2 linked regions of the Schizosaccharomyces pombe genome follow. The protein of the gene in region 2 interacts with the protein of the main gene of each other region in a biochemical or structural test. Each region holds a gene or a part of one and is shown on either strand. Other genes may lie near its edges.

Evidence for each region. The genes of interacting proteins can lie anywhere in the genome.
Region 1: the proteins of orb6 (region 2) and skb1 form a complex in vitro, tested with the Schizosaccharomyces pombe proteins (one study listed by BioGRID).

Annotation. Positions count from the first base shown.
Region 1 is NC_003423.3:2,275,293-2,280,889, forward strand, and holds skb1 (protein arginine N-methyltransferase Skb1), read left to right. Parts: upstream 1-1,962; 5' UTR 1,963-1,982; coding exon 1,983-2,172; exon of another isoform or gene 2,173-2,221; coding exon 2,222-3,720; exon of another isoform or gene 3,721-3,766; coding exon 3,767-3,955; 3' UTR 3,956-4,332; downstream 4,333-5,597. Other genes in the region: SPOM_SPBC16H5.12C (uncharacterized protein), read left to right, coding at 1-1,415; ATP-dependent RNA helicase Prp43, read left to right, coding at 4,471-5,597. UniProt on the Schizosaccharomyces pombe protein: S-adenosyl-L-methionine-dependent protein-arginine N-methyltransferase that can catalyze both the mono- and symmetric (type II) dimethylation of the guanidino nitrogens of arginine residues in target proteins.
Region 2 is NC_003424.3:1,005,506-1,011,154, reverse strand, and holds orb6 (serine/threonine protein kinase Orb6), read right to left. Parts: upstream 2,893-5,649; 5' UTR 2,717-2,892; coding exon 2,574-2,716; intron 2,307-2,573; coding exon 2,132-2,306; intron 2,087-2,131; coding exon 995-2,086; 3' UTR 837-994; downstream 1-836. Other genes in the region: dnf1 (P-type ATPase), read left to right, coding at 1-515; gamma-glutamyl phosphate reductase Pro1, read right to left, coding at 3,406-4,761. UniProt on the Schizosaccharomyces pombe protein: Interacts with pak1/shk1 and coordinates cell morphogenesis with the cell cycle. It is essential for maintenance of cell polarity and is involved in mitotic control.

The sequences.
Region 1 (5,597 bases), on a different chromosome or scaffold from region 2:
AAGGTGTTCTTTCTCAATTAGCTACTGCTTGCCAGGCTGACCTGACTTTATCCGCCGGTCTTCATTTTCGTTATGGAGCTAGCTACAATGAGTTTTGCGTAAATCATAGTCCTGAACATTATCTTCAAAAACTTTCGGCTGCCCGTGCACAGTTTATGGAAGTGTATGACACTGTTAAGGCTGAGGTTGAGAAGATGGTTACCCCTGAACAACATCATCTAATAAACAATGTTGTTCGCCTAGTCTCTCGCATGCCCGATGCAACTAACTCATATGCTATGAATAACATGCTTCCCGGCACTGCTTTTAAAAACCTATGGAACTTCAATTTATTAGATGCTTCCTTTGGATGGACTGTTTTTGTCGTCGAAAATGGGCATGTTCAAGTGGAAAGCAAATCTCATGGCTTTAATTTAGGCTATCGTCGCATGGCTTCACGTCGTAACGAAAATTATGCATCTCACATTCCACGCTCAACTTCGGAAAATACCGGTACCTATTATTACGCTAACAATAGGTTGGTGGAATCTCAAGCACAGTTTACCAAGAACAGAGAAGCTACGGCTACACCAACCGAAGAAGAACAGATTGAAGGGTACGATCAGGAACATACTGATGAGCTAGGAATGTCAAGAGCGAATACTACAGAAGAGTCGGCTGAGACTCATGAAGTAATCGAAGAGAAGTCGGGACCACCTGCTGCCGAGGAAGAACCCATTTCTGGCGTAGCAGAGAAGCCTAGTCCTAATGAAGAAGAACAACCAGCAATTGGAGGGAAAGAGGAAGTTGACGTTGAAGAGGTGACTAAGGGTACTGGAAATCTCGAGCTAGGTGAGACGACTACAGAGGTTACCATACTTGAACAAGAGAATGCTGCAAATGTTACAAGATCTCAAGCACAAGAAGGTAGAAGAACTGATATGCAGAAGGGCAACGATCGTGAATTCCGTCAATATAGTGGTGAGCAGCGTTATGAACGTTGTGGATTTCATATTACCCCTTGCAATTCTGAAGAGGAAGCCCGTTCTTACTTTAAGGACGGGACAGACAGCCTGATTACGAATATTCAAATTCGTACTTCACTCAATCGTTACAAAAGTCCCCAAGCTCCTCAAAACGTAAACCCCACTAACTATGCATATGTATTTGTTGAAAACCAGAATGCTGTTTCAAAGGCCCTTGGAAGCATCAAAGTTCCAGAAGGTGTGCGGGTGAATATCATGCGTGATGATTCGTACTATCGTCAAAATAGAGGATGGTATCGAAATAACCGGATGGAGGGACATGGAACTGGAATGCGTACCAATCGTGGACGTGGACGAGGCGGCCGAATGAACAGAATGCAGCATCCTCGTCCATTACAAAGCGGTGGAAGTGTCAATAAACAAAGCGCTGAACCTACTACCCATGGTTAATGATGAATATTTTTTGCACTGTTTTCAATGCTGTTTTAGAACTGATTTTTATACCATCTTTTCACCTTTTTACTGATGTTAATGCAAAAGTTTACCTCATGAATGATGAAGTTTTCATGAAATTTATCTGACGCACTCATTTACCTCAATAACTGCGAAGCCAAAATAACTGATATGACTCTTTTAAGATATCTTTTTCGAATTCGGTTGTCATTGACAAAAGGGTGCTTACTTTACTTTCTTTCATATCGACTTTGTTTAGAAATAATAAAGTGATTTTTGACAAGATTGATTCGCAGAAAACTATATAGTAAAAATAATTAATTACTTTATGCTAGAATAGCAGTTATTAGCCTTTTCTTCTTAGAAAAGATGTAAGTTTTAATAGATCAAATTCATTAATTAAATAACCAAGTTGAAATTTAAAACACTCACAAACAATAAGCTAGCTACTCAACTAAACAATTTTTTTTTGTTTTTGCAACACAAGGTCCCAACCCTTACCGTATGTTATTGCGGGATGGCCGTATTCCACAGTACAGTATTTACCCATTGCCAGTTCCGCCGATGAATTCTAAAACGCCCACTCTAGGAATAGTTTGTTCAGAGGGGACCATTTCCTTGTCTTTGGAAGAGGGTTTTGAGTTTGTTGGAGTTCCGTTAAGTGGTGAAGGTTTAAAGCTACGAGTTGAAGCTCTAGCTCCGTCAGAGCGTTTGCAGGAATTCCTCGACGATGAAGTAGCTTATCACCCTGAGGGTATGTTTCAAATTTGAAAGAAAATTTATATTAACCAATTTTACTATAGAAAATGTGCACAAGGTGGTCGGTTTATCCTCAGCTTGGCTGGAGTTAGATTCTGAAGACACACTAATCGCTGATCGATCAGAAGAAGTGTTATTAAAGGAAGCATCATATGCTTCTTATTGTGGGTTATCTTCAATCATCCTAAATGGTCCAACTTCACCAATGAACGTTATGCGTTATGCGAGAGCTGTATCTTCTGCTTTAAACTCAACAATGAATCTAAAATTCTTGGTACAATTGGCAATCGAAAGTGGTCATGAAGACTATTTTGAGACATGGAAAATGTGGGACACAATTCGCTCAGCATGTGGTTATCACCCTAGATTGAAGGTGGCCTTAGAGCTACCTCCCGCTTGTTCACCCCCAATCGAGCTAGTAAATCGATGGTACGCGGAACCGATAGAGATGATTACTATGTCATGTATGGCTTTCGTTCCTAATCCCAACGGCTATCCAGTACTTGGTCGTAAGTTGAGGGCTATTTATGCTTTATATCTACGTCTCAATCCTCGAATTTTACTTTGGGATAATGACGCACCCGAGAAAATAGGTGATTCCCCCGACTACAGCATATATATGAAGCACCTCTTTGATTCACAGCCTCCAGCTCCACTTGTAGAAGATCTCGCGGATTCTTATAAAGACTATCTGCAAGTTCCTCTTCAACCATTGAGCTACAATTTGGAAAACATTACTTATGAAATATTTGAGCGAGATCCCGTTAAGTACGCCCAGTATGAGCAAGCAATTTTTTCTGCGTTGATGGATAGAGACGAATCTTCTGTCACGCGAATTGCCGTTGTGGGTGCGGGAAGAGGTCCATTAGTCGACTGTGCTTTACGTGCGGCAATTTCTTCATCTAGAACGGTTGATATGATCGCCCTTGAGAAAAATCCTAACGCTTTTTCCATGCTATTGATGAGAAACCGCCAGGATTGGGCTGGCAAAGTTACTCTAGTATTTGGAGATATGAGAACATGGAATCCTGATTATAAAATTGACATCCTTGTTAGTGAACTTTTGGGTAGTATGGGAGACAATGAACTTAGTCCGGAGTGTCTAGATGGTGTACAACATGTGCTTGATGAAGAAACTGGGATATGCATTCCATCTTCTTACATCTCCTATGTTACTCCTATTATGTCTCCTAAGCTATGGTCTGAAGCTCGTAATATGAATGACCCAAATGCTTTTGAAAGACAGTACGTGGTTTTAATGAACTCATTTGACTTTTTGGCTGCAGATGATGAGTTCCGTTTTCAGTCCCTTTGGTCCTTCCATCACCCAAACAAAGATAGTGAGGTTTATACTAAAAACTTGCATAACAAACGTTTTGCTAGTGTTCGTTTTCAGGCCTCTAGTCCTGGAATCCTTCACGGTTTTGCAGGATATTTTGAAGCTACATTATATAAGGATATTTCTCTTTCAATTATGCCAGCAACTATGGAAGCGAAGTCTCCTGACATGTTTTCATGGTTCCCTATTTATATGCCCATTAAGGTAAGTTACTATATTTTACGTTGCACTGTATACTAATATTTCCTAGAAACCCATGTACGTCCCAGAAAACAGCCAATTGGAATTTCACATGTGGCGATTGACGGACGGTATGCGGGTTTGGTTTGAGTGGTGTGCCAATGCCTATCTGGTGTTGCGGAATGGAAGTCAAATCAAGTTGTCTTCTACGGAGGTCCACAACATTTCCGGAAAAGCGTTCTCGTGTAATATGTATTAAAAATTAATAGTCCTTCTTTTACATTATTGTTTATGGTTTAAAACGGGTCTTCAAACCATTTTTTTGGAGTTTTGATTATAAAAATTTTTTGGATTTAGTTAAATCTGAATTTAACAAAAGTCGATTAGTTTTAGGATAGCTGTTACAATCAAGATTTTGCTGAGAAAGAAGGAGTAATGCTCCTATACTTATTGTCTTAAACGATTTGCCAGAATTTTAACTATTGTTCTTAAACATTCCTTTTTACACAATTAATTAACAGGCAAATTCATTCAACTGAAATACCCTGTCATTTGCTTACTATACTAGTTAATTAATTTTCATTAATGTATTATATTAGTCCGAACTTGAAAATTAACAACGCATTGCGTTATGCCACTCAATTTTATATAACGAATGTTAAGATAGATGGTTTGTTGGAAAATTCTTTAACTGCTTGTAGTACGGAGTATGCACTGTGTTCTTCGCCATTTACAGAATTGTGGGAAGGGTTTATATAAGGGCGATTTTCGACTATGGAACCAGCTCAGAAGAAACTAAGGCAAGAGTCAAAGAACCCGTATTTGGCACACTTAAACAATGGTGATGATTCTGAGGAAGTTGTTTCTTCGAAAGGGTTGACGCGACGTGCTACGACTGTTGCACAAGCAGCTAAGGCTGAAGAAGGACCAAACAATTTTTTTAATGATAAACCTTTTAGTCAAAATTATTTTAAGATTTTGGAAACTCGAAGAGAGCTTCCTGTATACCAGCAAAGAGAAGAATTTCTCAAAATTTATCACGAGAATCAAATTATTGTTTTCGTTGGTGAAACTGGTTCTGGTAAAACAACACAAATTCCTCAGTTTGTTCTTTATGATGAATTGCCTCATTTAACAAATACACAAATTGCATGTACTCAACCACGTCGTGTTGCAGCTATGTCCGTTGCAAAACGTGTCGCTGACGAAATGGACGTTGACTTGGGCGAGGAAGTTGGTTACAACATTCGTTTTGAAGACTGTAGTGGACCTAACACTCTGTTAAAATATATGACAGATGGTATGCTTTTGCGTGAAGCCATGACAGACCATATGCTCTCTCGTTATTCTTGTATTATTCTTGATGAAGCACATGAGCGTACCTTGGCAACTGATATTTTGATGGGTCTAATGAAGCGTTTGGCTACACGTAGACCCGACCTTAAGATTATTGTCATGTCTGCAACTTTGGATGCTAAAAAGTTTCAAAAATACTTTTTTGATGCTCCCCTTTTAGCTGTTCCAGGTAGAACTTACCCTGTTGAAATTTATTATACCCAAGAACCTGAGCGCGATTATTTAGAAGCCGCGCTTCGTACAGTGCTTCAAATTCATGTTGAAGAGGGCCCCGGTGATATCTTAGTGTTCCTTACAGGTGAAGAAGAGATTGAAGATGCTTGCCGTAAGATTACTTTGGAAGCTGATGATCTTGTACGTGAAGGAGCCGCTGGTCCATTGAAGGTGTATCCACTTTATGGTTCTTTACCGCCAAATCAACAGCAACGTATATTCGAACCAACTCCGGAAGATACAAAATCGGGTTACGGCCGTAAAGTAGTTATATCTACAAACATCGCAGAAACATCCTTAACTATCGATGGTATCGTTTATGTGGTGGATCC
Region 2 (5,649 bases):
TTCAAGCTTTCTTAGTTTTCTATGTTACGTATAGTTTATTTGGAATGAAGGAACTTAATGACAACAATATCTTCGCTTATGGTCAACTCATTTTTACTGCTGCTATTTTTATCATGAATTTCAAATTGGTCTTTATAGAGATGCAATACATAAACATCATTTCTATAATAGTACTTGTTTTAACGTCCTTGGCTTGGTTTTTATTTAATATCTTTATAAGCGAGCATTATCCGGACAAGAATTTATATCTTGCTAGATCACAGTTTCTCCATCATTTTGGCAAAAATCCTTCATGGTGGCTTACTATGCTTTTTGTAATGGTTTGTGCTTTAACAATTGATATTGTTGCCCAAATGTTACGAAGGACTTTACGTCCTACGGACACCGACATATTTGTGGAAATGGAAAACGATGCCTTTGTCCGCTCTCGGTTTGAGCAAGAGAGCGGTGAGTTTTTACAAGCCAATGCACCATCTGTCGATGAAATTGAACAATATTTAAAAAGCCGAGATTAGGCATTTAATTCATTAATCCAATTCTAGTATATGAAACTTTCTTTAGACGATAGTCAGTTTACTGGTAAAATGTTAAAATTCTGGGGTTCCCACTGTTCAATTAGAAATTGTCTATTAGTTATGGGTCATGATCCGCATTTCATAATTATTGTTTACTATTTTGGTTGGTTTTCTTGGCGTTAACATCCTGTTGTACTTATTAATACATGTTTTTTACTCACTCTTTTTTATCTTTTCCCTAATAAAATCTATGCATTAATTTGGAATTCTTATGCAACGAATTTAATATTTACAGAAGTGCATGTAAGATTTTATCAGTAGGGACAACATTAAAAAAAAGTAATTGGTAATATTATTAGTTATGCTAAAATAATGTAAAAGAAGGTAAACATGAATTAACGATAAAAAAAATTCGATAACAATAGTTAGATGCTCAAAGGACAATGAACAAAGTAGCTATGGAGTTTCTTGCAGAAGTCTTACAATGCTCCTTTCATCGTTAAATAATTGAATTTTTTGTAAGTGTACCCAAGGAATGCCAGATTGGTTTGTTCCAACGTCTGAGGGTCAACAGAAGCAGGTTGTTGTGTGACAGGTTGTTCAGGAACTTGTTCAAGCTCATCAACAGGGAAATAATGTGTATCGGTAATAGATTTCAAATTCGGAATAAATGGAGCTGCAGTTTCTCGTATATGATCCCAATCGATTCCAGTAAAGAAAGGATGTTGCATTATTTCAATAGCACCGCCACGACCTAATCTGTGTTCTGAATCTGTCATAAGTCGGTCCATCAAATCACGAGCTTCTATGCTTAAATGTATATCATTTGGGAAAGTCAGAGTCTCACGCCAATTGATGATTTTTCGATAAGTTTCATGAGAGTTTTCACTGCAAAAGGGAGGCCATCCAATTAAGCACTCGAACATGATAGCGCCTAAACTCCACCAATCACAATCTTGACCATACCCTTGTTGCAAGAAAATTTCTGGAGCGATATAATCAGGAGTACCCACAGTGCTATAGGCCATCACCCTACGGTTCTTTTTCCAAGTAGCCATTTTGTCCTTGGAAGACATTGTAAGCCAGATAGCATCTACCATTTGACCACGTTTGACAGTATTTCCTGTGCGAGGTTTCATGTAAGAGGCACTCTGATCTTGCTTGTAAAAACCAGTGGAAAGTCCGAAATCAGAAAGTTTTATATGGCCATCCCGGTCAATCAGTATGTTATCCGGTTTTATATCCCGATGAATATAACCCATTCGATGAACATCAGCTATAGCCAAAACGCACTCAGCCATGTAGAAGCGAGTAACGTCTTCTGAAAAAGTATCATAATTTATTAGCATGGTCATCAAATCACCGCCTGGTAAAAACTCCATAATCAAGTAAAGATACAGTGAATCTTGAAAAGCATAATACAATGACACCACCCATGGGGAGTCAGATTCAACTAATAAGTCGCGTTCTGCTTTGACATGAGCCAGCTGGTCACGTTTGAACATTTCAGTTTTAAGCAAAGATTTCATGGCATAGATTTTACCCGTATCGAGTTTCTGAACCAACCGAACCTATTTAATTAGATACCAAAAACATAAACAATTATGCAAACGTACCTCGCCAAATGCACCTTTCCCAATAACTTTGATGGTAGAAAAATCTTCTAAAGAAAGCCGTGTACGACGAAATCGAAGAAATTGAGACTCTTTTTCACCAGATGCTCTTAACTGCCTATTCTTTCTCTCCTCAGAACCCCTTTCGGTTGCTAATCGTTGCTCCAAATTGATACGTCTAAAGAGAATTAGTATTTATACCTAAAAGTAAATTAAACGGAAGCTAGCATTATTAATTAACATTTTCGAAACAAGATGAGTAAGCTGTCTAAGATTTTATAAACATTCGAGATTATGCATTTACTGCAACACGCGAAGTTGAGAACGGAGAAAGAATTAATAAAAGCATCGTCTTTGATACTTATCCGATCAACGTATAAGATGGGAATACTAATTGAGGAATGTGAAACAATGCTAGAACCCTGAATAGTAATGCTACTCGTACCTTTGGTTGCGCTCTACAGCATGATCAACTGCCACCTTGTAATAATGTTCAATATATTTCTTTGTCTTTTGGACTTTGTCTAAAGTTGATTTCGGAAATAATGAAGGGTTCCGTTCAAAGTGTAAGTAATCATTCTTATCCATATTGAAAGAAATGTTGCAATAAATGGAATTTTTACACTAATTAGAATCAACTACAAGGTCAACGAATTAATTAACAAAAAGAAATTGTTAAAAGATTGAAATTCAATCGCTTAAAACATGAATTAACAAGACATGCAAAACAGAAATGAGACAGTGATAAATCGGATATGGTAAATGACAAGTCCTATTATGCTTTTTTAATTATAGGACTACTGCCAGCTAAGGTATAATCCGATAAAAATATGTTAAACTGCGATACTGGAAAAGCAAGTACTTCTGCAGTTTGTTATATAACTTCAACGATCGCTTGCGATAAGCTCCGCGCATTTCCTAACCCTCCCTGTTCAATATTACGACGCTACTAACTGAAGCCAAGAATCTTAGCTTACGAAGATTTTAGAATCTGAATTGAAATGAATAGTCAAAAAAGACGGACGGAGACATCAATTCGTTCTTCACCATAAAAATATTTGTGTAATAAAAACTAAAGGTGGTGGATCGAACTCTACAGGAATAGTTATCTATTTAATTTGGTGTTTACTCTTCATTTAATAACTTCACATTATTGAAACTCCCATTTAAATATTATAGACAAACAAGTAAACAAAAAAAGCCTAACCGATTTGTATCCAAAATGCAGCTAGCCAAAACGTTGACAATTTCACATAATTTTCAAATCTTTTTTGTGTTTATTTTTTCGAAACCTGAGAAATATTGTCTATATTAATAGGGGTATGTTTAAATGCGCGTTTGCCAGGTCCAACTCCATAACTACTTGCAACTTGACCATTTCCTCTAAGTTGGTACTTGTAAATAGTTAACCCATCAAGACCCATTGGTCCTCGAGCATGAATTTTGTTGGTGCTGATGCCAACTTCGGTACCGTAACCATAACGAAAACCATCGGCAAATCTGGTTGAAGCATTCCAATACACACCAGAAGCATCAATTCCAGCCATGAATCTGTTAGCAGCTGCTTCACTAGAAGTGATAATGCAATCCGTGTGTTTAGAACCATGTGTATTTATATGCTGCATTGCGGACTGTAAGGAAGGTACAGTCTTAATAGCAAGAATCAAATCAGAGAATTCAGTGTTGTAATCTTGATCGACAGATGGTTCAACTAGAGCACTAACTTTTGGCATATCCTTTAAAACCTTAAGAGAAGCGGGATCACATTTTAATGTAACTTTTGCTTCAGTTAAAGTTTCAGCAATTTTAGGAAGATGAGAAGATAAAACAGCTTCGTTAATTAACAAAGTTTCAATTGCATTACATGCTGCTGGATAATCAGTTTTTCCATCCAGAACAAGTTTACTAGCCAATTCCATATCAGCATCCTCATGGACGTACATGGAGCATAGTCCTGCAGCATGACCTAAAACAGGAATTTTTGTGTTATCTTTTATATGGCGTACAAGATTAGTGCTGCCGCGGGGAATAACCAAATCTATGTACTCATCCAATTTTAATAATTGTGATACCTCCTCGCGACTCTGAACAAGCTGCACAGCAGCCTGTGGAACCTTACTTTTGCCCAAGGCAGAGCGAACAACATTAGAAAGTGCAGCGAAAGACTTTGCTGATTCCGTGCCTCCTTTAAGTACAACAGCATTACCAGATTTGATAGCCAGGGAAGTAATATTAATGATTACTTCAGGTCTAGCTTCAAAAATGACTAGCAATAAACCTACAGGGCAAGAGACTTTATAAAGGTCCAAACCATCGTCAAGACTACGAGCATAAGTAACACGACCAAGGGGATCAGGCAAACTTTTAACATCTAAAACACCCTGTACCATGGAATCGTATTTATCAGATGAAGACAGATCCAATCTTTTAACCATCGATGAACTTAGTTTTCCTGATTCAGCCAAGAGCTTAGCTGCTTTCATATCTTCAGCATTTGCAGCTAGAACCTCTGACTTTTTTATGCGCAGTTCTTCAACTATTTTATCCAATGCATCATCACGGTCTTCCACTGATAATGTCTGTAAAATGTTAAAAGCGTTTTTCGCTTCCTTTACATTCTCTTCAAGAGACATGCTAAACAATACTTATACAACTTTGAGTAGAGGCAATTGGGAGATTTAAATCAAGCGAATTCTTATTCTTAGAATGGCTAGCTCAAAAAGACTACTTTTTGTAGTATTTTGGTTGTTTTTTCTAATGTATGAATAATGCAAGTTCGTGATTTATTTAACACCCTTCAAGTAACAAAATCAAGCATTGTTACTTTACATTAAGCATAACTAAGATTTCTGAAAGATACGAAATCATGGAAAGTGAGAGTACTTCTGCAGTTAACTAAAAATATTTTGCAACCTCAAGAACAGTTAGTGTTATATTTTCAGTTTTTGTTTTTCCGTTACTATATATAGTAGCCTTACTTTTCACTTTTCACGTAGTGCAAGAATTATGCTTGTAAACAAAAGACTAAAAAATGAGCAACTGGGTATCTTCGGTTAAGAAATACAAAGATACTAATTTTAAAGTGTGCTTTGTATATTCCATAGAGAATTTGGATTATTACACACTTCGTATTTCTCATGAATAAATTATAGTCATATCGTAAAAGCAAAAACATTTATTAGCATGGTGTCCAGTTATTACTGAATCAATTTGATCTAGTTGTTTTTAATTCAAATTAAAGATGCTTCTAGTTGAAATGCACAGCTCAACAAACAAAATTGTTTGTTCATCTTTTCGGGAAAACATCCTTCAATATAGAGTATCGCTAACGGTTGTAATTGAATTGTTTACAATGGCTGATCAAACTGTTCATTAATATAGTACTTTTTTTTTAATTTGAACGCAATTACTTTGAATTTAATTCCATATTTGCAAAGTTCATCTTGCCTTACAGTTTCACAATTGTCCCCCAAGTCGACAATTTATAGAATCAGAAAGAAATACTTTGCTTCAAAAAAAAT